Linked DNA regions of Lytechinus pictus. The protein of the gene in region 3 purifies or fractionates together with the protein of the main gene of each other region. This does not show direct contact. Links are inferred from orthologs where the notes say so. Each region holds a gene or a part of one and is shown on either strand. Other genes may lie near its edges. The genes, in order: perilipin-2-like, squalene monooxygenase-like and E3 ubiquitin-protein ligase MARCHF6-like.

Region 1 (10,557 bases), on a different chromosome or scaffold from region 3:
GGGGCAAAGTTATTACAAGGCAGGGGCTGCGGAACAGTTAATCACAATCGGTCAAGGCCCCCCCCCCCCCGGTTCCGCAGCTGGACACCAGGCTGATAATTTCAAAATTGACCATAATTAGCAATTATCTTTCAATCTAGGAGTACCTTGGACATTTTGTCATAATTTCCCCCAATTTCAAATATATTTTTATGATCGGTGGAATACCGTTTTTACTCATCCAGGGTTCATAAGTCAACATTTTTCTGGCTAAAATACTGTATTGCCTTTGAAAAAATGAATACATGCTCTTACGAATGTGCAAGCATGGTGTCTAACTTGGTTACCCCCCCCCCCCCCCCCGCCAACTGGAGTAGCAATAACAGAAATAAGTTAGGGATAATGCAATTACGGTGACCAGTGAGTGCTCTTGGAGGAGCTTACCAATTAATATCTTGGCTCCTTCCAAAATTGTTAGCTCTGGCACAAATGTTGGAAGTTTTTGCTCGCGCACAACTTTTTAAAAATTAATTTTACCAGATACGCCATATCAAGCCCCCTTTAAATTTTTGGTTCATCCAGGACTTCATCGATCATGGGGTGCAGAAATTAAATGTTCCTCCCCCCCCCCAAAAAAATAGATAAAATCAATCGAAAATAAAAATGATAAAGAAAAAAAAAAAAAATTATAAGAGGTAGACTATAAATAAAGGAATAAAAATAACGAAATAAACAAATTTAAAAGAATTCTGTTTTTGAAGGTGAAAGATAATTAAATTAAAAAAAATAATAGAAAATGGAATTTCATACAAATACTGCTGCAACTTCCCCATTGATAAAGATATAACTTATTGGAAAAAATACAATTAATAGAACATAAAATTTTAAAAATATTACTTCAAATAGGAAAGTTTAAAGTTGAATTAAGAAGACGATTCCAAATATTGAGATATTTACATTAATAGCAACCTTACAACCCCCCAAACACTAATAGGTGATTCGACCCCCCATTTTCTTTTTTCAAAATAGTGAATTTGAACGATTTATCCCTACCCATTTCCCCCTGAGTTCGCTCCTGCAATGCCTACCGAGACGGGTGTTCTTTGAGTGTGACGTCACCGGGGGGTATTCGGTCCCGGTTTAGTAAACAAGGCAGTGCCGTTTTGTGTACTACTATGGAATAACTGCAGTTGAAGTTGTATCTGCGAGCCATAGAACTTGCAAAGAGGAAATGATTAAAATATTTGTGGCCGTACTATTATTCCAAATATGTGAATTCCCTCAGAATGATACCATAGACCCTAAAGGAATAATTTCAAGGTGAATAATATGAAATTTGATCGAGATCTTCTCACCAGTCGATAACGTAGCAGACGTGTTATTATGACATATTTATCCGCGTGTGACGCGGCTCTTGCAAAAAAACACAGTTGGTTGCGGAATTGCTTTGTGCCGACCGGCCGCCCGCTCCGGCGCAGCTAGCTGTCGAGCTACCGTACCGTTCTTGTTGTCTTCAACCATAGAGATGTATACTAATTACTATATATCTTTCTGTCTTCAACTCACTTCCGAATTGCGTTTGTATGTGTGACGGTGACCCCTAGCGTAATTAAATATAGAAAACAACTCAGAAGGCCGAGAAAGAATACTATACGTTTGGTTCAAGATTGTTCTGTGGAATGAGCTATGGGTGGAAATGATCCAGAGGATATAAAAGTGGAGTCAAAGACAAAAGAAAAGAAGAAAAAACGCCAGGGGATCGCTGCACGGCCATGAACTAAGTCGACATACCAGACCATAACAGTACACTCAATGCCTGGGTGTTGTGTGTATTAGTATTATGCGTTCAGCGCGCGCTGAGCTAGCCGCCGGAATTACTTTCCAGCTACTCACTTGATTGAACATCGTGATAAAATAAATGAGAAATAGTGAAAATATCATTCAATAACTCACTGTTTGCTATCTTACATCATGATTGAAGAGTTCATGGTGGTTATTCATACTGTTTTTTATACAGGGAAAGTAAAGATTTGTACATATCAGTCCTATTTGTTTGATTTGAGTTGCTTTGAAAAAAAATTGTAAAATATCTTTCTCTCTCTGCATAGCATTTCTGTATGACATTCAGGCACCTCTTATACTAAATTCCCCCCGGTGACGTCACACTCCGAGTGACTTTTCTGTACACTCGTCTCTCGGGCTCTGACAGGTGGCTAATTTCATAGACTTTCAAAGCAAAATATCGAGAAGGCAGATGATTATTGTGACATGCTATGTGTTTGAACAACTTATATATACTATATATTGTATGTAGAACCTATACTTATGGAAACTCACCCCCTTCTTAATTCAACTTTAAGAGAAAGAAATAAATGGCACTCGATAGTGGGGTCGAGATCATGTTGCTTGCGCCGGCCGGCCCCAGCCCCTAACTCATAAATCTTTCACATGCATCTAAACGTAACATACAAGACCCCAATTTTTTTCAAGATTCAATTTTTAGGATAGCCATAGCAGCATGGCATTTCATTTTCAATCAAAACTCGATCCACCCACTTTGACAAGGTAGGTAGGCTTCGTAAACAGAATCAGATCGATGATGTATTTCACACAATGTGCACTATAAATGGCAAGTTTTTTAGTTGCATTTTCCGTACTCAGTACTACGATATGTGCTCGATTTGGACTAAGGTTAGATCTAACCTATAGTCTATACATACCTAACAAAAGGTTAAAATTAGAGTAGGCCCCTATAGCTTTTTTCGCATTTAAGGTACCACTGTGTAGAACAGTGCAGTCTTGGTCCTCACGATGCGTAGCCCAGGGAGCTCCATGGGTTACGCGATACGTTGCCCGGAACGGTGCAGGCAGGGGCAGCGCTCGCAGGCGGCGTGCCGTCGGCGGTAAATATATACCTACGTTGGCCCAAGTTAATTAACAAATTAATGACAATGTTCGCTGTCAATACCATCTCGCAAAGAAATTCAAGTGCATGTTGCTGATACATTATTTTTTTTTGGTTGAGTCCTGCTTCATAACCCCTGCGATGGCGACGTTTTCATGTCCCTAGCAGACTAAACTCTCAATACGGCGCTGAGCATGCTCAGTACTGCTTTATTACACTGAGCATGCTCAGTACAGTGCTAAATAGAGCGCTAACTTCAGTCATCGATCGTGGTAGATTTAGCCCCCCGTGCTAAATATTTAGCACCCCGTGCTAAATATTTAGCCCGATGGGCTAAGTTAGCCGGGGGTGCTAACTAGCCCACGCTTTGAGAAATGCTCGGTGGGCTAAATTAGCCCACGGGGGATAGTTAGCCCAGTGGGCTAAGTTAGCACGGGCTAAGTTAGCCACCCTTTGAGAATTCGGGCCTACATGTCTCTATTTCATAAAACGTACACAAATATGGTTATTAGATCAATGTAATTTCAGGTAACTTGTTTTTTTTCCAATCATTTTGTAAAAACCAGGGTGAGATATACACAAGTTTCAATGTTTTTTTTTTTTCATCTGCAAGAGCAGTGCGCATTTTAGCTTGCATGCAGCTTGAGCGCCGTGATGGGCGAGTGCGCCAAGCATTTTATTATGAAATACACTTTTTTGGGGAAAAATACAAAATATTTATCTCACACGGTAAAAATACTGATTTTTTTTGTCAAAATACTGATTTTGGGGGATAAGAATACTGAAAATGCAAAATACAACTTGGCAGCTCTGTATAGATATCATTGAGGCTCAAAATAATAAGTTTTGCACAATTTTCAAAAGAAAACAAAGGAAGAAAATTCAGGTTTGAGGCGCATTTTCAGGCCAGAAATTCACCTTTTTATCAAAATATTGTATACAAAATAAATGACCAATATGAATCTGATGGTGCATTGATATTTCATTTGACTTGAGGTTAAAACAGGTAAATTCTTAGAGTAAGAGAATCTCACGAATCATGAGATTTTGCAAGGAGGAGGTTTCAGCCACGAGATGATTTGGATGAATCTGGCCTTTTTGCTCATTAGCATAGGGACCTGCGGTCTGACTGGAAGTATGAGGAATCATGTTGACTGCAGTATGAATATTCTAAAGTCCCCAGTTTTTGTCTCGCCTGCATAGCAGAGCGAGACTATAGGCGCCGCGTTTCCGACGGCGGCGGCGGCGGCGCCGTCAACATTGAAATCTTAACCATGGTTAAGTTTTTGAAATATCATCATACCTAGTTCATGAAACTTGGACATAAGAGTAATCAAGTATTACTTAACATCTTGTTTGAGTTTCAGGTCACATGACCAAGGTCAAAGGTCATTTAGGGTCAATGAACTTAGACCATGTTGGGGGAATCAATATCGAAATCTTAACCAAGGTTAAGTTTTTGAAATGTCGTCATAAGTTCAAAAGTTTATTGACCTAGTTCATGAAACTTGGACATAAGGGTAATCAAGTATTACTAAACATCCTGCCTGAGTTTCAGGTCACATGACCAAGGTCAAAGGTCACTTAGGGTCAACAAACTTTGACCATGTTGGGGGTAGTTGTGGAATCGTCATCATAACTTTGAAATTTTATGGATCTAGTTGATGAAACTTATACATAAGAGCAGTTGTGAATCCCTGAACATCCTGTGCGATTTTCAGGTCACATGACCAAGGTCAAAGGTCATTTAGGGTCAACGATTACGAACTTTGATAATGTTTGGGGTATTTGTGGAATTGTCATAACTTTAAAAGTTTATAAATCTAGTTCATGGAAACTTGGGACATAAGAGTAACCATGTATCCCTGAATATCTTGTGCTTGTTTCAGGTCACATGACCAAAATCAAAGGTCATTTAGGGTCAATGAGCTTTAGCCGTGTTCGGGGTATTTGTTGAATTGGCATCATAACTCAAAAAGTTTATGGATCTACACATATGTAGTTCATGAAACATAGACATAAGGGTAATGGAGTTGTTTTGCACATGTCTGAGGTCACATGATCATAGTCAAAGGTCATGTTGGGTAAATGGACATAGTATTTTATTATCATATGAGTGTTTTCTTTTATGAATAATTATTCAATAGTCTTTTTCAAAGTCAGCACTGCAGGTATATCAAATCGCGTAACGCAGGCGAGACTGCCAGAGGCGTTCCACTTGTTTTTGTATGGAAAGCAGAAAAATTTGACGGGATTAGGAAGAAAACAGAATTTCTCGGCAAACAATGTTTCAACTTTCAGAAAGTTTCAGCTCCTGAAAATGATATAAAAATGCAGTGAAAATCATGAATATTAAAGCAATTTCAAAATAAAGATAACTGTTCATCAATGGAAAATCTGTCAATCAAATGGTTATGCATTGTTAAAGGACAAGTCCACCCCTCAAAAAAGTTGATTTGAAGAAAAAGAGAAAAATCCAACAAGCATAACATTGAAAATTTCATCAAAATCGGATGTAAAATAAAAAAGTGATGACATTTTGAAATTTTGCTTAATTTCACAAAACAGTTATATGCACATCCTGGTGGGTATGCAAATGAGGAGACTGATGACGTCATCCACTCACTATTTCTTTCGCATTTTATTATATGAAATATTCTATTTTTCTCCTCATTGCCAAGTGAAACAACGATTAATTGTGGTGAACTTGACCTTTAAGTATTTATTCATCAACCTCTGTGCATACATAATTTGTTTTTCTAATTAAAATATCATTATTTACTGTGTTTTGAACATGTGCCATGGTAGTGAAGAGAAGTTGATCTTAAAAAGAACGTAGAATTTGAATTTTACAAAGCAGAAAACTGGGGACTAATGATAAAATCTGGCGCTATATTAAAGTTGTAACTTATACATGTCATGAAGGCTGTTTAAGAAAAATAATCTGTAATTCATTCATGAGGATTTACCGTAATTTTAAATTGAAAAAATTTCACAGTGAAATAAAAAATGATTACAGTCAGTTTTCTTCTGAAGATGATTTAGTTAATATTCTGATAAGAGGGTACCAGTAGATTTTGTTCTTTTTCCAACCACACTATTATAACTTTTTTTTAGCAGTAATCAGTCAGTGGGCTACTGCAAGGCCAGGTTATGGGCATATTGTTGAATCACTTGACAGTGTCATTGAGGTGTTCTTCTTCTACAAACACTATACTAAGTAGGTCATAGCTCTCTGTGAGCTATCAATCAGCTGTTTTCTGACTCAGACCCAAAGCTGAAAGTCACCACAAGGACAAAAGTATTGCAACAGAGTTTCTGTGAATGCGGACAGCATGCAGTCAGGCACGTATCACTGTGCGTATACCACATGAGACAAAAGTGTATTGTGGATGGGCATTGCATTGATTATTTTGTCTGCTTCCTGAATTCTCTTCATATCTACCATACATCCTTGTGGCTAGTTTGGATTAGAAAAACATCTTTGTTCATTATTGATTACATTTACCAGACATAGAATTTAACTGAGGGTATTTAAGGTTCCATTTCTTGTGAAGTTGCATCAGAACGATTCCAACCTTGTTACATCAAGCTTGAACAGCTATAGCTGACTGAGTTGACTGCTACTGAGTAGTACTGTGCAAGATATCGTCAGCTCTCAATTCATTTTGGATCCATCTTCAATTCTATTTCAATCTTGTGTGAGTTGTCTTTTTTTCTCAACCAGTTGTCTTTGTAGACTAAGTTCAAGTTTAATGCTGCATTTTGCTTTCTTTACAGTTACTACGATCTACATGTACATACATGTTCAGATGTTACTGTACTAACAGCACTGTATGTTCTTGTGTTCTTTAGCATGTTTAGTTATTATTTTTTTTTGCAATCTAGACTAGGGCTACAGAGTAGGCCTGTGAAACGGGTCCCATGTCTTCCCACCTATTAATTTAATTTGAGATTAAGCATTAATTTCTTTTTATTCTGCAAAACAATTCATTTGATAATGCCCAATCTTATGACTAGCTAAGTATGGTAAGTGTGCTGAAAATCTCAAAAAAATTTGAAGGGACATGATTATTTTCTGGGGGAAAAAAACATCAGCCAGCATTTCCAGACTGAACAAAACATGGTGCCCCCATATCTACCTGCCCACAATTTCGGATTTTGATATGAAATGCAGCATTTTGAAGTTGTTACATGAAATGCCTGAAATTCAATATTTTTCCACCATTTTGAGTCAGATGTTTTAATGAATATCTGCCTTAGTATTGCAGGTGTAAAGTTTGTGATCGTTGCAGGTAGGTTTTGCGTATGCACAGGCAAGGATCACTCCGCTGCGCTTGGGGCACCTTGCAGATAGTAAAATACTTTGATTACAAAATGTTTGCTGGAGATTTGTATTAATGTCTCATTTCTCATGAGCCTCAGTGTATAGATTAGACTTACAATTACAGTTGATTTATTATTAGATCAGAGATATATGTGTGATTAAGCCTGAATCTATACCCAGTTGTTGTGTGTCCGGACAGGTTGTGTGTCCGGGCGATCAATTTTAGAAAGTCATTTGGAAAAATTTGAAAGCGAAGTTTCATAAATTTTACCGTACAAAATGTTAGGAAATATTATTAAGAACAAAATAGAAGATGATTACAAGTATTGAATTCATATTTTTAGTGTAATCCAAAGACAAAAAAGAAGGCTTCAAAAATATAAAGTGTCCGGACACCCGATCCCCCATCCTACTATTAAATGTTTGTGTGAAATAATTCCAGGACCAGGAAAGTATTCTTTTTTTTTTTAGTGCAAAATTTATATAGTATAGCCTAGCTCTACAATGTATCATGTGTTTTACTTTATACTTTTCAACTTGAATGTTAGGATTGAATTGAAACTGGCACTTTGCATTAGATCTGAGCAATTTGTAGTGCTTTCACTCCCAAATAAATACAAAGAAAGACATTGTAAAAGTTGAGGTACCTGTAGGATATTCCCTGTTCATATATGTGACCTTTGTTGAAGCAGAGTTAGCAGACCACATGAACTGTACTGACTAGTTTCACTTTTAAGGTCAAAGCTTTGTTTTCTTGAATCTTTGTACTTTTTATTGCTAAAATTAATGAAACAATTTTGTCAAAGCTTGTATTTAAAGAGAATAATAATGTAGAGATTTTGGAGATGCCTCATTTAAGGAGATACTGAAATAAAAAGAAAATCCATAATTTATTGTTCGAAATCTGAAAATAGAAAAACTCTGAATGAAAATAATTTTTGCCCAATTGATTGTGGGCCCAGCAGCCACTGTGCAGCGCTAGATCAATGTACATGTAGCTCTATCCCTTGAATTGTTGAACGCCAAACAGGGTTGCAGCAACTCCCATCTTTTACCGTCTTTTGTTCTGACGCGGCCGGCCGGGTTTGAACCCCGATTGTGAGACGGATGCTCTACCAACTTAGCCAACGCACTGCATGATCTTATAATCTTGTCATTGCAAGTCAAAGAAATTCTTAACTTCTGCAAATAATGGATGACTTGTAGCATTTTAAAAAGTTAATCCATGAAGCCTGATGCCAGAGATAACCCATATTGGGCTCTGTAGGTCTAATAACTGATCCTGGCCAACAGGTTAAAAGGCAATTATCACTTTGAAAGACTTTGCAAATTAGCAATTTATTACAATTTCCACGTCATTTCTTGCAATTTAAATTTGCTACTCTAGGGTGTACCTGCATGTCTGACAGTGAAGTGAAGAGAAAAACAATTGTCCATTCTTTCAAGTCAATGACACACCTCCCCTGAATCCCACTCTCTAAAATTTTCTTTCATATTTATTTGTTAAGATTTCCTGTATTTTGTTCTTTACATATAGAAGCTCAGCAGCAACCAGCAAGCATGCAGCCAGAACTTGAGAACCAAACTACAGGAGAGGGTGAAGACTGTGGCACTCAGGTTAATGTCATCAATCGTATGGCTGCACTTCCTGTGGTCAGTTCAACCTTGTCCCAAGTGACCAATGCTTACAACTGGAGTAAGGACAAGAATAGTCTGGTCAAGTATACTCTGGAGATGGCTGAAAGTACTGTAGCCATGGCTGCTAGCACTGCCCAGCCAGTGGTCAATAGACTTGAAGGACCAAGTAAGATAATGCTTGCTTTCTCATTTTGCAATCATAATTCAATCTTTCATTTTTTCCTTTTGTTAGGACTTAGGAGCTTCATGCTTGCATATATATAATGTACATGTGCACATTCGAGGGGAAGTGGTTTTGCATTACTGGTTATCTGCAGATGATACTTAAAAGTTAAATTAATAATTTTTTTATCCCAATCAAAATATCTAATCCCATAAAACTGATTTTCTCCTACTTGAAAAAAATTGTTATTTACAGCGTATTAGGTGATCTTCAACTTGTGTAGGCATTCACAGGAAATCAAATAATTTGTTGTGGTTTTGAACTAATCAAAGTGAGTCATTGGGTTTCACATGCCTACAGGCAACAACTCTGATAGTACGGTTTGAATTCGTTTTTTTTTTGTCCCTGTTGAATGGGTTCCTCCTCTTGTGGTAATCACCTTTACCCCCCTCAATGAATTAGTACTTATGTTTTACATGATATATAATTCACTTCAATTGATTGTATTGCTGAGTAGGATTAGTATGGCATAGGTCAATTCCAGAGGTCAATACTTAATATGCCCCTCAATATATTTATTTTTTCTTCAGTTTCTGCTGTTAATGAATATGCTAACCAGCAGATGGATAAACTTGAAGAGAAGGTCCCAGTCATCACTGAATCACCAGAGAAGGTATGTATCAATACTGAAAGACATTGTTTTGTTTCCAATGTTAACATGTTACTTAATACTGTCTTGTGGTTTGCAGAGTTCGTGTCTTGACTGTTGAACCTTTTTTCAGATATGAAGAGAGTTTTGGCCCTGGCATATCAAACTTGATAGGTATCCGTTGTGAGTTTGAGAAGCGCTTCTCCTTTTCTTGCCATACAATTCATTTTTACTTGTATCTTTTCTGGATTTGAAGAAATATCTTAATCAAGCAAGATTTTTAAATGTTTTTATTGCTATATTGAAAGTATAGGCCTATAGCCCTGTCATGCTACTCAAGTCACCTAATAGATTTATCGAAATGATACAAGGTCAGTCTTGAATCTGGTCAAAGGAAATAATCTTTTACATTTGGAAACTCAATTTTTCATACATTCAACATCTAAATAGTAATAATGCAACTTCAGAGTGCCAAAATCCTCCCAGCAGACCAGACTGCTCAAGGCACATAGAGAGTGAGGAAGAAAATAGAAACTTTTTGCCCAGATTTTTAATGATTCAACAGAGATACAAATTTGTATGTCTTAGGAAGGCTATTCCACAACGTTGGGAACATGTGAGCAAAGGACCCCCCCCCCTATGTTTTTGAAACTGTGAATTACTTCTGATTCTAATCATCCACAAATTTACCACTCCTCTTTAATTCCTTGTTTTGTCTTGATCAGATGATGATGAATCTCCAGGATGGCACTAAGAAGATGATTGAAAATACCAAGAAAGCTGGTTCAGATCGCATCAATAACCTTCTACTGACCAGACTGGGGAAGGCACTGACCACTGGTGTGGACACTGCTCTACTACTTTCTGAGTTTGCTGTGGACTACTACCTTCCTGAC
Region 2 (11,272 bases), on a different chromosome or scaffold from region 3:
TATTCTAATTTTCCCCTCATTGTCAAGTGAAACAATGATTAATTCCTCCCTGAACATGTGGAATTAGCATTGTTTAATACTATATGGTTTAGTCAAGTTGATCCTTATTGACAAATCTGTAAAAAAAATGAAATAATGTATAATTCAAACAATAAAAAACAAAAGAAATTGTGAGTGAGGGACATCATCAGCTGTCTCATTTGCATGTCACTGAGTTGTGCATATCACTGTTTTGTGAAAAATAAGCGAAACTTTAAAATGTCATAACTTTCTTATTCTACATCCGATTTTGATGAAATTTTCAGCATTCTGCTAGTTGATTTTTTTTCTATTTATTCGAATCGACATTTTTCTGGGGTGGACTTGACCTTTAAAAAAACCCCACTGTTTGTAAAAGCCCCTCTCACAATTGGTGGTGCGACTGGTTACAACCGTTGTGCTTGTGTGCAACATATATTGTGACCAAATGATCATAAATGATTGCACAAGCCATTGTGAAAGCCCCTTTAGGTAGAATTACAAAAAAAACTGTCATGTGGGAGGCCAAAACTGAGTTCCCAATCATTTTTGTCCCTTGACCATTGTGCTAACTGTTACATATGGAGATGATGATCAAGATTTGCAAGGTTCAATTACACTTTAATACAATTCTATTCCAGCATTTGGCTAAAGTTATTTATACTGTGTTACAGTGACTGATAAAAACATCTCAACTTGCTGTTTTGCATTTCATATTTCAGTTGTTCATTAATTAAGTCATGCCAAACTTCCTAAACTGCCTTTATGACCCCACCCTCCCTAGTCTGCATGCACAGACCCTGATTGAAACTTAAGATCAACAAGTGTGTCTTCAAACAAGACTAGCACACAATATAAAACTAGCACACATAAAAAAACAAAAAACATCAAATTTTTTCCCCAAAACCTTGTACAAAAACGATCAAATTACCATCTAATTGTGATTTCTTGCATGGTCAGCCCCCCTACTTTCAAAACTGTTCCGCCGCCCCTGAATTATAAGATAAAATCCTAATGAAACATCTTTTGGTCCGGTATAGTTCATATTTATTATCCACCTGTTCTTTCTTACAGATATGGGAGCCTACACTATGTGTGCCAGCTCTGAATTCAACGGCTTCAAACGACCCATCTTATATTCCATCATATCCAAGGAATATATGTAAGTAATGCGTAACCCATTAATGTAAAAACTTTGTAATGAATTACACCCTGTTGGATGTATGTTTCATGTTGTTCATTAATGTGGAGCGTTGTGGCCCAGTGGATTAGTCTCCGGACTTTGAAACAGAGGGTCTTGGGTTCAAATCCCAGCCATGGCGTAGTTTCCTTCAGCAAGAAATTTATCCACATTGTGCTGCACTCAACCCAGGTGAGGTGAATGGGTACCTGGCAGGAATTTATTCCTTGAAATGCCACAGCGCTGTAAAAGGCTGCGGGGCTTAAGCCAGGGTAATAATATCCAAGTCCTTTGGAAGGGTATAGAGACGTTATTTATGTGTTATGCGCTATACAAGAACTGACTTTTATTATTATTTCATGTGTGCCAGCAATGCAAGATTCCTCCATCACAAAATCATGTTATGGTATCGCACACTTACGAGACTAGGGTCAATCTCTCTTGCGTAGGTCATTCACAATGAATTGAGATGATTTGGAAGATACTAAGGAAATTCACCAGAAACCAAGAGTAAAATATATATGGTCTCACAAATATAGCAATTTTGTTTTTGATGCAGATTATTTGAAAACGATATCTAAGCAGTTTCAATTCCGTATTATCTTTCTGTGCCAGCTTTTTACTCTTGAGTTTCAAAGTCTCTCGTTATGTTTTGGTAAATCCCCCAAAATGTATAGCTGGCACTATTTAACTTGTACTTATATAAATGTTTACATCCTTCATATGTTAGGGTGTAGATGATTTGAAATTTGGCATGATTTTTTATTAAATTTCATTTTGATAGAGATCCTGACCAAAATAAAAATGAGATATCAGTCCTTCACGTATATAATTTTGTGGAGCTCAATAAATCACTCTCATTTTTTTGAGGAGCTCAATTGAGCTCCTCAGAATCTCTCTCCTTGAGGAGCTCAAATCAATTTGATGTATGCTAAATTGTAGATTTTTATTAAAATTTCAAATGCAATAGCTGTGTTGCTATTAATTAATCTGTGGTGAAACTAGGCCTGGGTCATTACGTTTACAAAATATCGCGCTCCTGCTTTCAAAAAATTACAAAAAATTGCTAAAATTTCACATTTTACATCTTTAAATCCATGAAATGGTCATCTGTTTTCCATGATTCCTTGAAATTATTTTGATTTAGTCAAAAACTATCAGGAAAATGAAGAATATTCAGCTCTTTCTTGACTCTGATTGATGATGTTACAAATGGTAAATATTGTAGTCCCACATGTAGACTTCCATGGTGTTGCAACTTTAACTGAAAACGATCTTTGATCGTTTGATCATTATTGATCGTTTTACACTTGGTCAACACCATGAAAATTTTTTAATGAATTTATGTTTCTCCCATATCCCCAGGTCCATCGTAGAGCGCATCACTGACCAGCCTAAGCCACGTAACAGCTGCAAGGCTTCCTTCACCCAGCTAGCTACATCACCACCAAGAGGCTTCTTTGATGAGAACAGCTGTTTGGTTGATCTCCCAGACCCACCCTACGATGACATCTACGGTTTGGTGGATGGGGGCGCCTGCAGAGAGATCGCTGCAGAGATTTGACAGTTTCTCAACAACAAAAACATATCCAGATACCCAAGATCCTAAGTCTCACTCTGATATTCTTGATCGGTAGCAGTTGGTTTCCTTAACAAAAGAATGTCATTATATTATTCTGTAATGTCATGCTTTATACTTTCACGTTTTCCTGTGATATATATCCATGGTAGTTTAAGTTGTGATTAGCTCCTTTAAGAATGCTTGATTGATGTGCGTTATTTATCCCTCCATATCAAGTTCCTTTGTCTTTTATTAGGCTATATGATCTTAAAGAGAGTAATTGCCAAGATGTGTTACTTGCTTCATTACATGTAACACATGTTGAAAGCCACTTTCTTTCTGAACACAGAGTAACTTAGCAGTTCTTTCCTTTATAATTATATGTATGTATATACTAACTGGAACTATATTTGTTGTGGTGTACTGTGGAAAAATAAGAAGCAGCTTACCTTAAAATAAATTTGTTGTGTCTTGGTTATATTACATCAGTAGGACTGGTATTTAAATTTATTTATATTTTGATTTTCGTTTTTGTGGATTTTTGATAAATGGAAAATATATATCATATACAATGGATGCTATTAACATTGAAGTGCCAGAAAAAGAAATTGCCTCCTATTCGTGTTTATCTTTTTGATTCACTGGAAATTTTCAAATGCCAAAATAAAGGCAAGGCACATTTTTTCATGTATGAAAAACTCAAACGAAACAGAATTTCAGGTCTTATATTTGACAATCTGCAAATTAACATTAATTGCTGATTGTGAGTCATTGTGATGGAGGATTCTTTGAAGTTTTCTATTAAAAATAGCAAAACATATTTGATATGAGCATTTATATTATATGATTTTTAAGTCTCAAAAGGCCAATTTCAGGTTATTGATGTATTTTGGTATTGTGGATATACAACATTTAAAATTCAAGAGAAAAATTATGTGTCTGATGTTTCCACCAAGGAGTAAGAATTGATGATTTCATTTACAGTCCTACCTGTAATGATTTTACTAGTAAGAGATATTTGCTTAAGTTTTCATCTATGCTGCTATATTTCATGCTAAGATTCTTCATTGGTGTACAAAATTAAGCAATTATTAATCATATGAATTCTAAATTAACAGAATTATTGGCATTAAAATTGATGTGTTTGATATCTAATGTATGCTGTTCTTTTATTTAGGGCATGTTGTATAATTTTCTTTCTAAAAGTAATGTAGTATTAATTAAGTGAGATCAGTATTATTCATTGAGTACACTGTCCTGTTCTAAATATAAAATGGTGAGAACTGGAAGCATGCATTACTAGACAAGTTTTATGAATGAAAGGTAATATTTGATTTGTCAACTATATATTATTGTTATCAATGTATTTGTGAGAACATGATCTTAAAAGTTAAATGCTATTATCCTAACCTTTCTCTAGGTTATTTTGGTATGTTTGTTCTTTGTAAGAAAAAGAAAAGTAGTAATGAAAGTAGAGCATAAATTGTTAGTACAGCCCATTTCTTCTCATATTGTTGAAGCATTTAGGAACAATTCAATATGAATCAAAGTTTAATTCTATCTACTGGAAAGCCTTTCAAACTTGACATATCTTGGCTCCATATATTTCATTTATTTGCAACATGGTTATACTCACGTATTGCATGATTGGTACATATAGTGGTTAAATATATATACCCTTGTATTACAGGAATGTTTAATTTTGTGGCTATCTGCTCTATGATAATTTTAAACTAACAAACTTGTTTTCATTTAACAATTTTTGGTTTACAGTTTACTCCATTGTAGTAGGAATAAATGATTGGCTTATCACGAATGAGATTATTTCTCTGTGTTTGTGTGTGTGTGTGTAATATCAGTCAGTGAGAACTAAAGTGTGAGGAAAATTAAATCATGGCTCCACCAGTAGGGAGGCTGTCAAGACTGGACTAAGTCCTGCGTCACATGGCTATGACACAACAATTGCTCCGGGCTTTATTTTGTCTAAGATGTAGGGGCAGGGTTAGGGTTGCAATAGGGTTTTATGTTAGGTTTAGGGTGGGTATAGTGTTGAATCCAGATTGGTGTTTCGTAAAGCTGTCCGTAAGTTAAGAGCGACTTTACAAATGACTGGTGATCCTATCTTAGGAGCTAAATCCACACCAATGAGATTTTGGTGTGCGTGCATATTTCACATCAAGAAAAGATCAAGTCATTCCCAAAGTCACTTCATTACTTTACAAACAGCTCAATGAAACACATCCCAATCCCAACAGGAAATTAGTCATTGGATTAGTGTGTGGAATTTATAGCAGACCAATTGTCGCTGGGGCAAATGTCACGTTAGTGACGTAACACACATGGCTTCTGGGTATTCAGGCCGCCCTTTACTCCCATCATTGTACAAACATGGTACGATAAAGCCTGGCAACATGCCTTTGTACACCCAGAGATACATTGAGATCATTGCATTGATGATCATTGTGTATGATCAATGGTAGTAATCGGCGCCACGGTCAAATACTGATCTTTATGTTACCATGCCGAGTGTTAGAAAAGAGATGGAGACATCAAAGTGAAGATGAGAAAGAGAGGAGAAAAGGAAAGTGATAGAGAAACGGGACATTTTATACATGTAATCAAGATGTTGAAAATTCATTTAATGAGAGCAAAATTTTGTGAAGGCGAAGGGTGTAAGTTTTGAGTGAAATTGATTTTAGAGATATATATAAGGGAATAGAGGGGATCAAAGGACAGTAAGAGCATTAATTTTTAAAAAAACTTTTCATTCTCTTCCTCTGCCTTCTTCACCCCAATCTGCCTATGCACTCCAGGGGCCTGTAACACAAAACTTAGCAATGATCTTAGAACATTTTTCTACAATTGATTCCATTGACTATAATGTACAATCAATCGTGAAAATCAAGCGTTCGATCAATCGCTAACCTTTGTGTTACGGGACCCTGGACTGATGATTCTGTTCATGCTCCTATACCCGATTGAAGAGGTACTCCAGGCCGAAGATAATTGTATATGAATTAATAGAGTGAAATTCACCGAACAAAAACACTGAAAACTCTATTTCTTCAAAAGCAAATATTTTTAAAGAAAGTTATTGAATTTTGAAGTTCAGCATTATTGCGTCATATATGCTCACTGTCATGAATATGCAACATGTGGGCTGGTGAGGTCATGTTTCTACTTCCATATTTTAATACATGAAATCATAATTATTTTATATTTTCATACATGATTATATGATATGTCTATGTGACAAAATAAGTTGCCACTGTCAACATCTTACACATTGAATAAGTTGTCAGTTCACTTTTTGTATTTCTTCAAACATGCTCGCTATAAAGTGTAATTAGATGTAATTAAAACATAAATATGGGGGCGAGGACATCCATCAGCTTGCTCATTGCACATTCATGAAGATGTGCATATACTGTCTAAGCAAAATAATAATAATATAATGCCAAACTTTAAAATGCCATAACTTTGTTCCTTAATTATCCAAATGAAATTTTGTTATTTTTTTTTTTTTTTTTGGGGGGGGGAGGGGGCGGGTCGATCTCATTTATTGATTTCAGTCAGCCTGGAGTACCAGTGCATAGCGACCCCTATGCATGCATGAGTAGCACGCTTATTTGGCATTTATTTCTGAACAGAATTCAAGGAGGAAGCCCGCGCTCGGAGGAAGAAGAGGGGGGGGGGGGGGCAGCTATATGCGTGCAACTCTATTCATCACTCCTTCAATTAGTTTGACGCCACTTTTTGGTGATCATCTCCGGCCCCGGCTGTCCCATGCCCCTCTGTATTAATTTAACGTGGCTCGTACCCGCGGGCCCATCCTCCCTCCTAAAGTACGTGACTCATATTTTCTCAATTGTATACATATAATAGCTATTCTAATAATAATATCTATAATAGCTCTTCTTTATCCTTTTTCATTTGCTTCACCCTTCCACTATTTTCTCCTCTATTTAGCCTGCCTATAACTAAAACAATTGGGGCGTGGTCGCCACGTGCATGCCCCCCCCCCCGGCCCCCCATTTGTACCGCCCCTATGGCTATATATGTGCCTATTTATGGATAGATGAGAGCCTGTCCAAGGCCCGGGTCCAAGGAAGTCAAAGCAATGAACAATCAACATGGCAAAAACGAAATTACTATTTGATTTATCACTAAAGTTCGGTTGATGAATTTTCTAAATAGTCTGAGAATTTCAATCGTAGCTAGATTTTCAGTTGCATAATCCTTGCTCACGCGATTTTCCCTGCGATGTTGTCGATGTCAAAGGTCACGTTATCTCATCAGCTCAGCTGTATTGCACAAAGAACGGCAGCTAGTGGAGTAGCAGCCGATAATTAGCATTTTGCCGATGAAGTTTGCACCTATAATCACTCGGATATAGGTAATCATTTGATTTTATATATTCTCATTGATCTTAGGTTTAATAGTCAATTACAGAACGAAATTTTAATTGATATCTGTGCACTATCCTTCGGTTTGCCGCTGCCGGGATGCGGGGATCGGGAAAGTTCTCCGCTGATTACAAGTCCGGTTCCGCTGGACAAGACGCAGGGCGGAGCTGCGCTACGCGACAGCGTTAACGTGTAAAGACCTGTGGCTGTGTATCAATGACAATGTTGACCTGGGGTGGTATTCTGAAAATGGTCTTAAATTTTCTTGTAACTTTTCTTGTAAGTCAGGAAGATACACGTGGCTGATCTCACAGTCATATTTTCTTTGAAAAGATTCATCATCTCGATTACCAATTTTTAATTGCTGAAAAGTTTACCAATGCGTCTCTGCCTCTGGGCCTGGGGACTGTCATGTCTCATGACTGTAAATGTCTTCGGAATGTCTCCTGCAGTAAAACACGATGTTCTTGCGGGATGCAGCAAGAAATTATTATTTTTGATCGAGAAATATCGCAAGCAACATTAAGTTACAATAGCCACCTACCTCTTGTAAATTTTCTTGTATTTTTGCAAAGAAGTTAACAGAACGCAAAGATAAGAGAATTTTCAGAATACCTTTTATCTCGATATGTTATCTTGCGCACATACATGTATGTAGGCCTAGATATTTTAGGCGCCGTTTTTAACTTACGCATCATTATAGCTCTGACATCATACGCGCTCAGTGAAAGTTACAAGAAAAGATACAAGAATTTTCAGAATACGGATTTTATTCTTCAAACTTACAAGAATATTTCTCTTAAGAGACAATTTTCAGAATACGGCCCCTGTCTTTATCAGAAAAATCAGGCAAATTGTTGTTCAAAGTGAGTTGTCGTTGGGTATTCTCTCAGTGACTGAGAGAATACGGTAATGTCTGTCACAACAATTTCAATTTTAAGTTAACTAACTTAGAATTATGCATTTTGGGCCTTTTGTTTTGCACTTTCATTTTTTGGGGACAATTGGATTTGTTCCAAGGCGAAGATAGATGGGAAAGGAGGAACTTGATAGAAAGGGGAGTTTGTCCTCTGCAGTATCATCACTCTAGAATTTACAACTTGTGAACTGGGCAGTGAAGGAGGACATTTTCAAGTGACCGTCTGTTAGATCACTATCTAGAACCTTTACTTAGAACCCTTGATTCTGTTATCGTAGTCGAGTGGTTTAAGTCATCAGATCAAAGCTCTCTGTGTATGCCATGCTGCTCTTAATGGCACAGGTCACAGGTTCGAATCCAACTTTTGATTGCCAATAGTAATATATTTTTAGAATTATAAATTGATGGCAATTTTAAAGGTCTGAAAATATGCATTATCGCACTAAACAATTCATATTCATGCATGATTGATGACGGATCAGATTTTCAACTTTAGAGGTGAAAAGCAAAGTCTATACTTTTCTGTTATATAAGATTCCTTTTTTTATTCATTTAAAAAAATTCATCTTCTGAGGACAATATGGATGAAAGATGATCACCAATGGCTCTGTAGTTTTCCGAATCAAAATGTGAAGTCAGTTTGTTTGAGGTGTGGATGATTTAGAGAAAAAATAGAATTGAATTGAATGGTTTATTTATTTCAAATGTTCACTGAAAATAAGCAGCCAAAGGCTGAATTACATTCAGTTTACAAATATACAGACATATAAAAAATATACAACTTGAAATAAACAAGGCAAATATCAAAATGAAATTGAGTACAAAGACATGCCAATCCTCACACTTGCTCTTGCTCATCCCATAATTCTCATTGTCACATTTCTAACATTTGAACACCTCCATCCCACAAACAGTTATCTGATTTTTGTATTTTGTCTAATTTGTCTCTTTTCTTACTGTTTTTTCCAGGTGTTGCAATGATTGAAATTCTAGTAAGTCTCATCCCAGAAGGGCTGGGGTATCCCCTGGCTGTGTCTGCTATACTTGGCTTGTTGCTTTACATTCTACTGGGCAAGCCATCGTCTATGGTGAGTACAAACTATTTTGACCTGGTATTCAGGAAAGTTTTACATACTGCTACTTCTTAAATATCTTCATCATGTTATCAAGTGAAACAAAATTAAGTAATGGGTAGAAATAAAAGTGTAGAGCTGCAGGTTTTATTTTGTTAGAATTTGCAATTAGTCCCAACCTTGTTTTAAAGATTATAAACTCCCTGTTTCTGTATGGCAAATTTTGCATTAAAAGTTAATTATAAATCTTTCATAATCAAAACTTAGCTGAAGTCTAACAGTGTTTCTAACTGATGCTTGATAATACCAAAGTAATCCCTTTCTCAGTTTAAGAGAACTCTATAAAGACGCACCTTTTTAATTCCTGATATTTGTTATTATTATTAAAGTGATTTGATGTTCAAACATTACAGAAGAAGCAGAAGAAATCGACCAATCATATGACAGCACCATCATCACATGACACTGATGTTCTTATTATTGGCTCTGGGATCCTAGGGTCAGCCATGGCTACTGTGCTGGCCAGAGATGGCCGTAAGGTGACCGTTATAGAACGAGACATGAAGGAGCCGGACAGGATAGTTGGAGAGTTGCTTCAACCTGGTGGCTACAGAGCTTTAACTGATCTAGGATTAAAAGGTATGGTTTAATCTGTTCTCTGTGACCATCTATCTCCAACTTTAAACAAGGAAAGGGAGAATTTACAAATTAAGTTCATGCCAACTGGTGTGTTGGCTCAGTTAGTAGAGCGTCCATCTCTCAACCGGGAGGTCAGGAGTCCCAGCCCCGGCCTTAGATCAAAAGACATTAAAAGATGATGCGAGTTACTGCTACCCTGTTTGGTATTCAACAATTCAGGAATAGAGCTACATCGATCTGGGGCTGCACAGTGGCTGCCAGGCCCACGATCAATTGGACAAAAATAATTTTCGGAGTATTTTTATTTCAAATTTCATTTCAAACAATAAAACAATGGATTTTCATTTTCAATACTACGATTTGAACCTGCAACATTGTCGCTGCATCAGAATGACAAGTTGCTTATTGAAAGGGTTCTCATTACTTTATATTCTTACTAATTCATTTTATTTCAGAATTTAATACCTCTCAGTTGCGAATATTTACGCTTTCTGTCATGAGGTTTAGCCTTGACTGAATAAACCCAATTATTATATTATTCTCAAAGACTTTGTTATCAGTAGGCTACCAAAGAAACAATTACTGGCAGCAGGACATACTCCCTTATATATTTTTAAAGCATATTTTCGATGTGTATTTCTTCAGTAATTTATGAAAGGTTGAATACTGTTCAATTGATGTTCAAAGTCCAGCTACTTGATAGTAATCTGAAAGCAAAGGACACAGACCTTTAAAGTGCCACTTAGAAAGATAGTATGAGTTGAATCCCAGGTTTGGTGGTGTATCACACACGTTACTATGCCTTTGATTATTGGATTATATCAATCAAGCCCTCCACTTTATTTCTTGTAATCTTGGTATTGTGAATTGACAGTATGAAATCAAAGTTACATAAGACATCAACAAGGGAACAACTAGAAAGGAAATAATAATAATAATAAATAATAATAGCTTGATTTATAAAGCGCTTTTTGCCTGAGGATACAAAGCGCTGCTATTATTAACCCAGCTTTAGCTCGAGCTACCATCACCGGCACTCAGTGCATTCAAGGAATTAATCCTGCCGGGTACCCATTCACCTCACCTGGGTCGAGTGCAGCACATTGTGGATAAATATATTGCGGAAGGAAAACACGCCATGGCTAGGATTCGAACCCACGACCCTCTGAAAGGCGAGAGTCAGAACCACTAGACCACAGCGCGCCCACATGAATGTAGAGAGAAGTGCAGGGTGAAACAATATTTCTTTTTTTAATGTATGAAGTGAAATGGTAATATTTTTGATAATTTCAAAGCCACATCCAATCATAAAATAGATTCATAAACTTTCTAATCAATGATGCCTTTGTACATGATGAAATATCCTAAAAATATTCTATAGCATGACAGCAAGAAGGCTTTATTGTTTGGGCAGGGTAAATAACAATGTGATATCAATGTTCTTGTCAGCTTATCTATTTTAAATATTTAGAATAT
Region 3 (11,499 bases):
TTGAACTTATATTACAATTTTTTAAACAACCGGGTCTGGAAAAAAGACTGGACTTATATTACAATTTTTAATTAATTTCGTCCGACATGTTGTCAGATCTGACATCTTTCCTTGATTTTGATTGGCTGATAAGCAATGTTACTATGGTAACTGTCGGATAAAATGGGACTTGTCGGATAAAGTACGTCTGACAAGTCCTTTCATGAAACGCTCCCCTAGAAAAAAGACTGCACTTTTGTGCTATATGAACGCAAAAAATCACAATCCTATGGTCATATTTTGGGCTGATGAAGTCCCCCCCCCCCCCCACGGGGCCCCCAACTTCCGCAGCCATACCCTAAAATATTTTATCCTTGTCACATTGCATCGGGAAACTGTCCCCATCCCCTTGTTGAACGAGCACGATTTTATGTTGTGAGGGGACGGTATCACGAGTATGATATACTGTTGGAGCTATCCCCACTGCGTGCCAAACGAACTGTATATCCCATAGCGTGGGGACTGGATCACGAGTATAGCTATACTGTTGAAACTGTCCCCACCGCCGTGAAAATCAAGCTTGATTCCCCGTTGAGTGGGGACTGTATCACGAGTATATAATAGGGAGAGAACCCAAGTGTTTATATACAGTGTGTGTTTCATTTGTGTGTGTTATCATTTTGCTACAGAGCTGTCCGAGAGTTGGGGACTGTGTTCTGGAGAAAGGAAGTGATTTTCATGTGTTCTGGTAGGTGTGATTCTAATAGCCCCCACTTTTGGATTTGGGGACTATATCACGATTATGCCAAAAATCCAATTATTGGCTGCAAAAAAGAAGAATGAAAGTAGGTCAATTTTCAGCATTTCTCTGCCATAGACTGTGTACCAGTAGGATGGGGGGTCGGGTGTCCGGACACTTTATATTTTTGAAGCCTACTTTTTTGTCTTTGGATTACACTAAAAATACGAATTCAATAGTTGTAATCATCTTCTATTTTGTTCTCTATAATATTTCCTGACATTTTGTACTAAAAATTGATAAAACTTCCCTTGTAAATTTTTCCAAATGACTTTCTAAAATTGATCGTCCGGACACACAACAACTGGGTATACCTAGTTAAGAAATGGACACACACAATTCCAAATTTTTAGCTTCCGAGAGCTGAGAGCTGTTATAAATTTATCATTAATGCCAAAAACTTGTCCATTAAGAATAAGAGTCCAATAGGATTTTTTATGCTCTTTCTGATGGTATGATTTTATAAAGATTTGGAAACCAGATCACAATGAAAAATTGCGACAAAGTGAAAAAATTGTGCAAAACAGACATTTCATTTTCCCATAGAAAACGCATGGGAAAATCTCAACACACACACAAATAAGGGTTTGCAATTTATCTCTAAATCCTTATTTAAAATGATCATATAAACTTGTCCAGACTGTCAAAAGAAGCCCCTGAATTTTCTCTTTCCATACATGCCAAACACAAGTTAATAATCAATTCAGATCACATTTTTCTAGCAGCCTGAACTTCCCGAAAAAATGTGCCATATTTTCCCCTAAATCAGCCTGTTTTATGCTGACACTTTTCAGTGTGGCTTCAGACACCCTATCTTTATTTCATAAAAATATATAAAAAGAACTGGACCAAGGCAAAATAAAGATTATTATTTCGTTTTGGCCTGAAACGCACCAAAACGGGGGAAAATAAACTTAAAAGGGGGGAAAACAGTGACTTTCTTTGGCTGTCGCGCAACTTCACATCCCTGTTTTATCCGAACTTAATACTAGTATGGTAGGGGGTCCTAAAGCTACGCACCACTCCAATGCGCATGCAATTTCAATTGCAAAATGCGCACTCTGTGTGTGGAGCTCGTGACTGCAGTGTGACGAACCATTCCTATTCAGTTTTTTCTACAGAGGCTGCAATAAATCACTAAATACAGAGAAAACCAGCAACTGTTTGGAATTTTGGAGTTATATTCACTTTGATTTCATATTTTCCTATAAGATTATGAACATTATTTAGAAGTTTAGGCACAGGAAATACTTTTTCTTTGCATGATAAATTGAGTACGTAGCTTTAGGACCCCTTCTATATCGGGCAGGGAAATCAAGAGGTGTTCGGAAAACACGGCGGGATTTTCGTATTAGTGAGTTTTGTGATATTTCATTTTTGGTTATGAATCTTTACAATATTTAACACAAATTTAACACAAACAGGTGTTGGTCAACCTTGGACGCTTGACCAAAACAATCTGTACGTCATAACTTTACTCTGAATTGGGGGAGTTGACCTTTTAAGGAGAACATGAAATGTAGTGAATAAGAAACGCATAAAATGTGTGTGCGTCAGAAGTTTAGCTGGAAGAAGAATGAGTAATACATTCTTATGAAAGTTAGAATTGGTAAACATATGGTTTCCTGTTATACTTCCTGTAGAAGTATTGATTATGCATTGATATATTATTAAATATGTGAGATAGGTCATTTCATCACATAACAACTGGATAAAATGGAAATGTTCATTATTTTCCTTATGATATTAAAACACATGCCCTCTTAAGTTAAGGACACTTTCATTGATATTTCAACGAAAGAGACCCTTGTCAGAATATGAAAAGAATAAATTAAGCAATTTCAAGTTATTTCAATATTCTGAATTTTATTGAATGCTTATTTCCAATGATAATTTTGCAAATTATGCTTTAGATCTAGATCTCGTCTAAATGTTATTTTGTTGAGGTAACAATAGGGTTTGAATAGATCTAGATCTAGAGTGAACAAAACCAATGCAGAACTTCTAAACCCATGTTTTCTTTAATTTTTAAATGCATTTTGATAACCTTTATCTAATGATAAAGCATGCCGGTCCATTTCAATATTTCAAGTTTGGTTAAAAAATTGGAAAAGGGGTGGAAGAAAAATGAGAGAGAAATAATGGGAAACATACCAAAAAAAATTGTTTGGACCTAGATTACCCCGGAGAAGTTAAATCGACATCAGTTTTGGGTCGTCTTGCCAGGCAATTAGATGACCTGAAAAGTGATGCCAACCCCCAAACAAAAAATAACTTGGCACCATCCCAGATAAACTGCATCAGCGTGCAATTGAATGGAAAAAAAAATTTAAAAGGGGATATGTTAGGGTGGCTTGCTGTATCTTACTTTACATTTTCTCTATATGCCGACGGTGGCGGGCGGTGTGCAAAGAAGATCATGCCTACATAGGACATGTCTGGAAATGTCTTTCCAAGGACCAAATTGGCTTCGTGAAACAGTTGAGCGATATCACGTTCTTACGTAGAGCGGTTATACCAAACACCCTTTCATGCAACAGGCCCCTGCATTACCTCAGGCTCAGTCCTGTTTGGTCACTACCGCTACACTATGCTACACCTACCCGAACCACCAGGGCACATTCAACAGATTGACACTCCCAGTCAGTGACAAGGTGTGTCACTTTATGTTGCTGAACAAAACCAAGTCATGCAAAAACATGACCTTACATGTGATCGACTACAACTCATCTTAATACATTTTCAACCTGTTTCACTTGTTTCTATAGTATCAGTCTTAGGGACAGTGATTTTCCGTTTAAAAAAATTGCCTTTTCCGTTTCAGAAAATCTTAAATTCTGTTTCAGCATGTCAGAAAACGGAAATTCTGTTTCCCCATAGATTTTGTGTACATAAAAAATTAACGATTCGGTTTACCCATTCAGTAGCAATAACACAACACTCGCGCTGGTCAAAATTTGTATCTGCCACTGAACCAACAACGCAGTAGAATCTGCTCTAATCGGATCTATGCGGGTACACAAAATATTTTGACAAACACATTTAACATTAATACATCCTCACCTTTCACATTTTTAGCATTATTTTACGGTTGAATGAAATTTTTTCGATAATTTTGGGGTTTTTTGGACATCGTTTTGAGCAGTCAACAATTTCGTTCTATCCGCCATTTTGGATTTCAAGATCGTGCTGTTACATCTTCAAACATGGGCAGCAACACACGACCTGCATGTGAATGTTTTCGATACGGCCGATCGACCGTACCCTGCCGGCGCGGCCGGGAAGGACCGGGGCGAGGGGTACGATTGAGTGTGATGGAGTGAAGAGCAGTCACGATGTGTGGATTGTCATGATCGTAGTGAAGTGAGATCGTGTTTTGTGAGGTTTTGTGGCCATTTAATATTCGTATTTTGTTGAGATTTTGGAGTAATATATGTTGCTGTTCTGTGTATTCTGAGGAAAAATATGTTTTCCGTGATTTTCCGTTTGAAATGTCACTTTCCGTTTCAAAAGGCCATTTCCGTGAATTCCGTCCGCTTTCCGCGATCGCGGAAAATCACTGTCCCTACAGTCTCAAAATCTGTGATTTAAAAGCCAGTTGCTACTTCCTCACCATTAGACACTGCCGATTCCAAAACATCGCAAACGCAAATTGCGCATGCGTGGAGATCGTGGCTCAAGACATATATGAATATTGTGTTCCTATAGATTGGGATCATTTCGCTATTTGCATATTCATACTTATGGATTCTTCTGAATGTAGTCTTAACCCTTTGAACCCTAAATTCTTCGGGGCCGCCATGACCCGTACCCTTAATAATTTGCACGTATCAACCAACAGTATCTTCCCCTTGCTATTACCCGGACCGGGCCGGCTGAAGTTGTTAAGCTTCTCGTAGACCTAGACTACAGACAGAAATATAAACTTTAGTGTCTGTTTTGGGCTCAAAATCACTGTTCTGACTAAAGTCAGATTTATCAATAGCTTCCCCATCTAGTCAGCACATGACTCGCCGCATATTTCACCGGTGTTGGATGTGCCCTGATGGTTCGGGTAGGTGTAGCATAGTGTAGCGGTATTGAAGTGTAGTGGAGCCTACATGAACCATCACCTGAGGTACATCTGCATAGACCGATTAGGTCTATTTATGTCAGGGTTATGCTCTGCTGAGACTTCGTCTGGCTCCATGGTATCCTTTCAGTCAATACACCGATGACAGCCATTGGGCTCGTAATGGTTGAACTTCGACTGATGCTTAACTACAGGGTCTATGGAGAAAAGGCATCAGTCATTGTTTTGAGGTGCATGTGAATAGGCGCTATACTTGGAAACTATAGTAGTGCTGCAAGTTAGGCGGCATGTTCGGGTTCGGTTCGGCGTGGTTCGGCACTTTTTGTCCAAGCTTTGGGGTCTAGCAAAGTATGACTAAATAAATTACAAAATTATTTTTTAAATGACCGCCAATCCTGAGCCAACAGAACATTTTTCATAACGACGGTCTGGCATATAATGGTTATGAAAATTGTTGTTTGATTTCCTTTTTTTTTTTTTTTTTTTAATCAAAACTAGAAGTCCTTTCTTATTTTATTTTCAAATTGAATAGAATTGCCAAAGAAAAAAAATATTGAAAATGGGATAATGAGGATTGAATCAAAATTTCACATAGATATGATTATGATACATCACAATGTCATAGCAAACGCAGCCACCTTGATCGGGAAGAGTACTGATTGGGAATGTTGAAACACGAGAGGAACAACCTCCAGTCAACTGCTATTATACTGGTAAAATTAATAATTCAATGAATATGAAATGTTTTCGAAGTCCATATGTTCTTAAAAGTGGTTTAATCTGGTCAATTGATTATTTTAAAAAGATAAATTATCAGTCCATTCTTAGTCCTGAAAGATTGACGCTAAGTGACTTCAAGCACATTTCCAACACGAAAATGAGACTGTATATTTTAGTGTTGTGAAATCACTACGCGTCAACCTTTCAGGACCAAAACGGAACTGATTATTAATTTTTTTTTTTAGCAGTTGACCAGATTAAACCGCTTTTGTCTCACCTGCTTAGCAGAGCGAGACTATACGCACCGCTTTTCCGACGGCGGCGGCGTCAACATTGAAATCTTAACCCGAAATTGACAGGGCTACAATGTATATGAGATGTTTTGAGGACTGGGGGGGGGCCATAATGGCCCCCTCCCCTTCTGATCTCGGCCGCTGTTCGCGCGATCGCGCCAAAATTTGGCTCGCACATTCTTTTCCACATAAACTACAAGCCAGTACAAAAAAAAATTCTGAAAACGATTATTTTTTATAATTTGTTATAAATGAAATTTGCAAATTTATTTGTGAAAAACATTTGCATAGTTAACACTCAATTTCATTTCAAATTTTTTTTTTTTTTTCAGACTCATCTTTTAATCAAATTTAAAGGTTTCCACGAAGAAAAATTTCAAAAGTGAATTTTTTCCTTATGTATTTCTTTGTTTTTTCATCTTTTGCTTTTCATTGTTTTTTTTCAATGGAAATTATTACAGACCATTTAACAACTAAATTAAACCCTAAATATTTAAGCAGACCAATTAGAATGAAAAATAATCACCTTTTATGAATTTCATCTCCCGTATAGACTTTGTACACAAAGTATAAAAATTAGCCATTTTCGGCATGACATTGTCACGTAAAAAGTCGCGTGGCGTCGAGATGCTATACCCGTATGTCGCGAATTTGGTCTCAAAAGTTGTGCGAGACTTCAAAAAAAAAAAGTCATAAAATTTTGCGGCGTTATCTTTTTTCATTTCAGAAATATCGTGCGAAGCGTTGAGGGGGGGGGCATCATGGCCCCCCAGTCCTTTTAGGGTTTGAAATGTCATCATAACTTAGAAAGTATATGGATCTACATGTAGTTCATGAAACTTGGACATAAGGGTAATCATGTATTACTGAACATCCTTCCTGAGTTTCAGGTCACATGACCAAAGATCATTTAGGGTCAATGAACTTAGACCATGTTAGGGGAATCAATATTGAAATCTTAACCAAGGTTAAGGTTTTGAAATGTTGTCATAACTTAGAAAGTATATGGAGCTAGTGCATGAAACTTGGGTAATGGTATATCCCTGAAGATCCTGCCTGAGTTTCAGGTCACATGACCAAGCTCAAAGGTCACTTAGGGTCAAACTTTGGCCATGTTGGGGGTATTCCATATTGATTAAATTCAATCGCAGGAATCTTGATTGTTTTAATCATTCAATTGTACTTACCCTGGCGAACAATCAAATGGCAAAAAGCGATATGTGAATGTTGATTACTGGTGCTTTCACATGATTGGTGAATGAACAATTAACATAATTCCAACCTGTTTTATCATTATTGTTATTTCTATGCAGCAAAAACACTGATCATGATTGATTTCACTTAAGTTGCAAAGTTACATTTTGGTACATTTTTAACATTATAATTTTTTTCACAATCAAGAAAAAAATTTGTGCCATAGAGGGCTTTATGCTTCCAACTGGTTGCTTCTTCGGACTGCGTTGTGAGATAATTTTCTCAGTTGTGAAGAAATCTGAAAGCCACAATCAGATGAATCTCATACAGGAGTCAAGACCATTTTATGAAAATATGAACTTATTTTCTTTTCAGATGTATGTAGAGTATGCAGGTCAGAAGGTGGCCATGAGCGACCTCTATTTCATCCATGTATTTGCACTGGTAGTATTCGCTACATTCATCAAGATTGGTAGGTATTACATCAATATAGGCATGAGTTTTTGATGAGGTTCATGACCGTCCTCTATTATTTTCAATGATTGTCTTTTGAATAAATGGAAATTGGTATATGTTATAAAAGTCTTGTATATACATAGATCTGTTTTATTAAGATGAGTTTGAATTAAGAAAAAATATAATAGAAACAATCAGATAGGGAATGCAAAGATATATTTAAATCCAATATCTATGCATTGATATACACGATATATATCTATGCATTGATATCCTACATTGATTCCAGAGCCCTGGGCTACTGCAGATCCAAGCTAATTTATTGCTGTACAGTGTATTGTATTTTTTGTAGATTTTTTGTCAAGCTCAGGTTAGTTAACTTACTTAACTGCATAGTATATTAAATCTTTGCAATTTCTGAATGTTCTGCTTTTGATATTTAATGAATTTCCCATTATTTGATTGAAGATAAAATAGAATACCAATGACAGATGGAAGTATTCTGAAAATAACTAAAAGCTAGTAATAGTAGAAATAATTACCACTATCAGAATAATGTTTGATAGATCGATTACCTACTCCTTCGGTCAATAAATAAATTTGTGTGACTCCCTCCCTCCCCTTCTCCTCTCTATCCTTTCTGTGATTCCCATTCTCTTTTTACTGTATCTTTTCTCCTCCCTTTCTCAAATATTCTTATTTTCCCCCATTTAGTCTGGTGCAATGGCTAAAACACAGCAAGAAGGAATATTGTGAGCTATGCATGCACAAGTTCACTTTTGCCCCAAGTAAGTCCATGTACAGTGTTATTGTTTTAGTTTGAACTTATTGTTTATTTAATAAATAATGAAAGATAATTTCAATTATCAAAGTATGTAAATGTTAAGGTACACTCATATATGAAAATGTGATACAGAGCCAGAATATTAACTCTGGTCTTAAATTTTGGAGTATTTCAGGCTGAAAATGAGAGTTTTAGTTAATTGATTTAACTTAAAATTTAAAGAGCAAGCACTGAAATTTTCATCAAGATATAACTTTTAGAAATTCTTGAACTTAATAAAGTAATTTTTTTTAAATGTTTTGGTGAAACCATTATCTGCATGTTATCATGAATATGTGCAATAAGCAAGCTAATGATATATTATATCTCCACAATTATTATGTTATTATATGAAAATCTGTTAAACTATTTTTTTCCAAATTTTGTATTGTGCCTTCTGGATTTGGTGCATTTTAACTGATGTGACTTGATTAAAATTTAAAAATTCATATATATGTCTTGTTTTTCTTTGAAGTATACTCTCCTGACATGCCCCCTCGCTTGCCCCTCCGTGACATTGTATGGGGTCTTGTAAGGAACTTTGGTACAGCTGTACTCTGTTGGATCCACTATACCATGGTCATCTTTGCTTGGCTTGGCATTGTTCCTGTTACAGCAAGTATGTCAAGTTATCTTCCTTAATATTAAGCAAAGTTTCAATAAAATCTGTTAAATCATTGTATGTAATTTGATGTTTTTAATTATCTGAATATTTAATTATGTAGACAAGATTTTATTTTTATAATGTGCAATTATAATGATTATTCATTTTTTATTCATTCATCTGTATACTGGTATTCATTATTCAGTTATTTCTCAATAGACATGTGAGTATCCCATTATTCAGCGATGATTTATATTTCTAGCTTCAGATTACCTATTAGCATACCATTTCCCTACTTGTATAAGTCTTATCTACCTTTATCAGCCTTTCTTTCATTTGCCTTTAGGTCGTATATATGGCTGCCTCTTCAATACATCCCTCGCTCCCGTGTTGTCCTTGCCATTTGATATCTTCTCTTTGTAAGTATTCAATCCAGTGCATCAATGAGTACCTCTTGCTGCTAACATTATGTGCTATCAAGTTACATATCAAAGTCATTACAAGAAAATCAGTTCAATTCAGTTTATTTTTCTCAGCATAAAAACAACAATATGAATAGTACAAACATGACATATATCTTATCTACGGCTGACCCATAGTTCCCTCTGATAGAAGTAAATTACATTAAGATTTTTTGTGTAAGAATGTAAAGGCCTGTTGTATTCGACCAGGAAGATTCCATAGAAGCCTTGCGTTTGTATTGCATGTAACATAATCCATATGTGAATAGTGCACTCAAGGTTATTTACAGTGATGCAAAAAATATCAGGAGACATTCTCATTACATTGCAGATTTGCCTGGGTCACCACTATCATCACAAACTTAAACCTTTGTATCATTTATTTGATGTTATAAAGCTGATTGTCAATTTGAATAAACATGGCCCCAAAAATTGGTTACCAATGTGAATTTTCAAGAATCCCACAGTTATTACTTAAAGAAAAAGTCCACCCTAACAATCTTATTTGAATAAATAAAGGAAAATCAAACAAGCATAACACTGACAAGTTCATCAAACTTCGATATGAAATAAGAAAGTTATGATATTTTAAAAATTTGCTTGATTTCAAAATCATTGTGTACATCCTGGTCAGTATGCAAAGGGGGAACTGATGTCACTCACTTTTTCCTTTTGTATTATACTTGTAGTTTTAAACCAGGTTTGATTCCTCTTTGATCATGTGTATTAATTGTTATTTTGATACGTATTATGGTTCAATAAATACCTTCGTTATTGTCCAAACTTCAAATTGAAATATTCTATATATTAGATTTATTATGAAAAATGTTGAAGGGGCTATATAAGCCCCCCCCCCTCCTGCCCCTGGCTATATAAGGATAAGGCAAAAAACTAGTATTTTATTTTCGGGGGCTACCTTTCACAATCTCATGGCTAAATCTGCAACATTGCAGGCCCAGAGGAGCGGTGTAATTAACTCGGGATAATACCCAAAACATCTTGAATATCTATTTCATGGACAATTCATCTGCTTATATATTTGCCGTTTGTGAACAATTCTCTCAAATTTTCGGGGCCTTGATTGAATCATAATATCAATTTGTTCTGAAAAAAATCATATCCAATAATCAAAGTAGTTTTCATTTGTTTTCTCCAAAAAACTACCTCCATACGATTTCCAGGATCTCAACATATCTGTACTCCCAAATGAATATTCATGTGGTTTGTTGTGCATATCCATTTGATATGTACAGAGATGCTTGCCAAATTTCTGCTGTGCCAAAGCCCTATTTTTTGAGAAATTGTATATAAATGGGGTTGTAATACATAAACACAAGGAGTTTTGGATACCAGCGAACCCAATTACGTAATTCCTTGCACACGCTCAAAGACGCCCCGAGGTTTGCCCACATAACACAGGGCGTGTAAATTGATTATATCGCTGATTATACACACACCTGGGGGCCGTTTCATAAAGCTGTTTGTATGTTAAGAGTGACTTTAAGAACGACTGGTGGTCCTTTCTTGTGGTAAATAATATTCACCATCAATTGTTCATTGGTGATTAGTAGCTCATAAGAAAGGATCACCGGTCGTTCTTACAGTCGCTCTTAACTTACGAACAGCTTTATGAAACATCCACCTGGGGGGTGTTCCACAAAGATTTAAGTATGACTTAAGTCGCACTTAAATGCCGACGCGTACATGATATGCAACGCGTGATCTTATTGATAGATACGCATTAGTGCGCATCCTCATGACACGATCTGACCAATGCGGTCAAGCCTTTCATACTTTACGCAACTCGGTATTTAAGTGCGACTCTAAGTCATACTTAAATCTTTGTGAAGCACCCCCCAGATTGGGTAAGCAGTGAATGGGGATTTTTTATGTTCCTGGGGCCCGTTTCATAAAGTACTAAGTGGCAACTCTTGCAATTTTGCCATTATGGCAACTACCATGGAAACCTTGATTCTGATTGGCTGCTGACCCGTTACCATGGTAGTTGCCATTATGGCAAAATTACAACAGTTGCAAGTCCTTTATGAAACGGGGCCCCATGACTATTTGAGCATTTCTGGGGCCAAATCGCCCCTAA

The links.
Region 1: the proteins of E3 ubiquitin-protein ligase MARCHF6-like (region 3) and perilipin-2-like purify together in Homo sapiens (affinity purification with western blotting; 3 studies listed by BioGRID). This does not show direct contact. The link is inferred for Lytechinus pictus from reciprocal best matches to the Homo sapiens genes MARCHF6 and PLIN2.
Region 2: the proteins of E3 ubiquitin-protein ligase MARCHF6-like (region 3) and squalene monooxygenase-like purify together in Homo sapiens (affinity purification with western blotting; 4 studies listed by BioGRID and IntAct, with this or other methods). This does not show direct contact. The link is inferred for Lytechinus pictus from reciprocal best matches to the Homo sapiens genes MARCHF6 and SQLE.

Annotation. Positions count from the first base shown.
Region 1 is NC_087249.1:2,796,897-2,807,453, reverse strand, and holds the start of perilipin-2-like, read left to right. Parts: upstream 1-6,072; 5' UTR 6,073-6,585; intron 6,586-8,748; 5' UTR 8,749-8,771; coding exon 8,772-9,015; intron 9,016-9,602; coding exon 9,603-9,685; intron 9,686-10,386; coding exon 10,387-10,557. UniProt on the Homo sapiens protein: Structural component of lipid droplets, which is required for the formation and maintenance of lipid storage droplets.
Region 2 is NC_087261.1:1,973,274-1,984,545, forward strand, and holds the start of squalene monooxygenase-like, read left to right. Parts: upstream 1-6,821; 5' UTR 6,822-7,155; intron 7,156-9,053; 5' UTR 9,054-9,061; coding exon 9,062-9,172; intron 9,173-9,570; coding exon 9,571-9,796; intron 9,797-11,272. Other genes in the region: ornithine decarboxylase-like, read left to right, coding at 1,093-1,180, 2,564-2,762. UniProt on the Homo sapiens protein: Catalyzes the stereospecific oxidation of squalene to (S)-2,3-epoxysqualene, and is considered to be a rate-limiting enzyme in steroid biosynthesis.
Region 3 is NC_087246.1:38,703,416-38,714,914, reverse strand, and holds the start of E3 ubiquitin-protein ligase MARCHF6-like, read left to right. Parts: upstream 1-7,434; 5' UTR 7,435-7,529; intron 7,530-8,227; 5' UTR 8,228-8,276; coding exon 8,277-8,301; intron 8,302-8,811; coding exon 8,812-8,955; intron 8,956-9,286; coding exon 9,287-9,359; intron 9,360-11,499. UniProt on the Homo sapiens protein: Endoplasmic reticulum membrane-associated E3 ubiquitin ligase that plays a critical role in mitigating endoplasmic reticulum stress, the regulation of cholesterol and lipid homeostasis, and ferroptosis.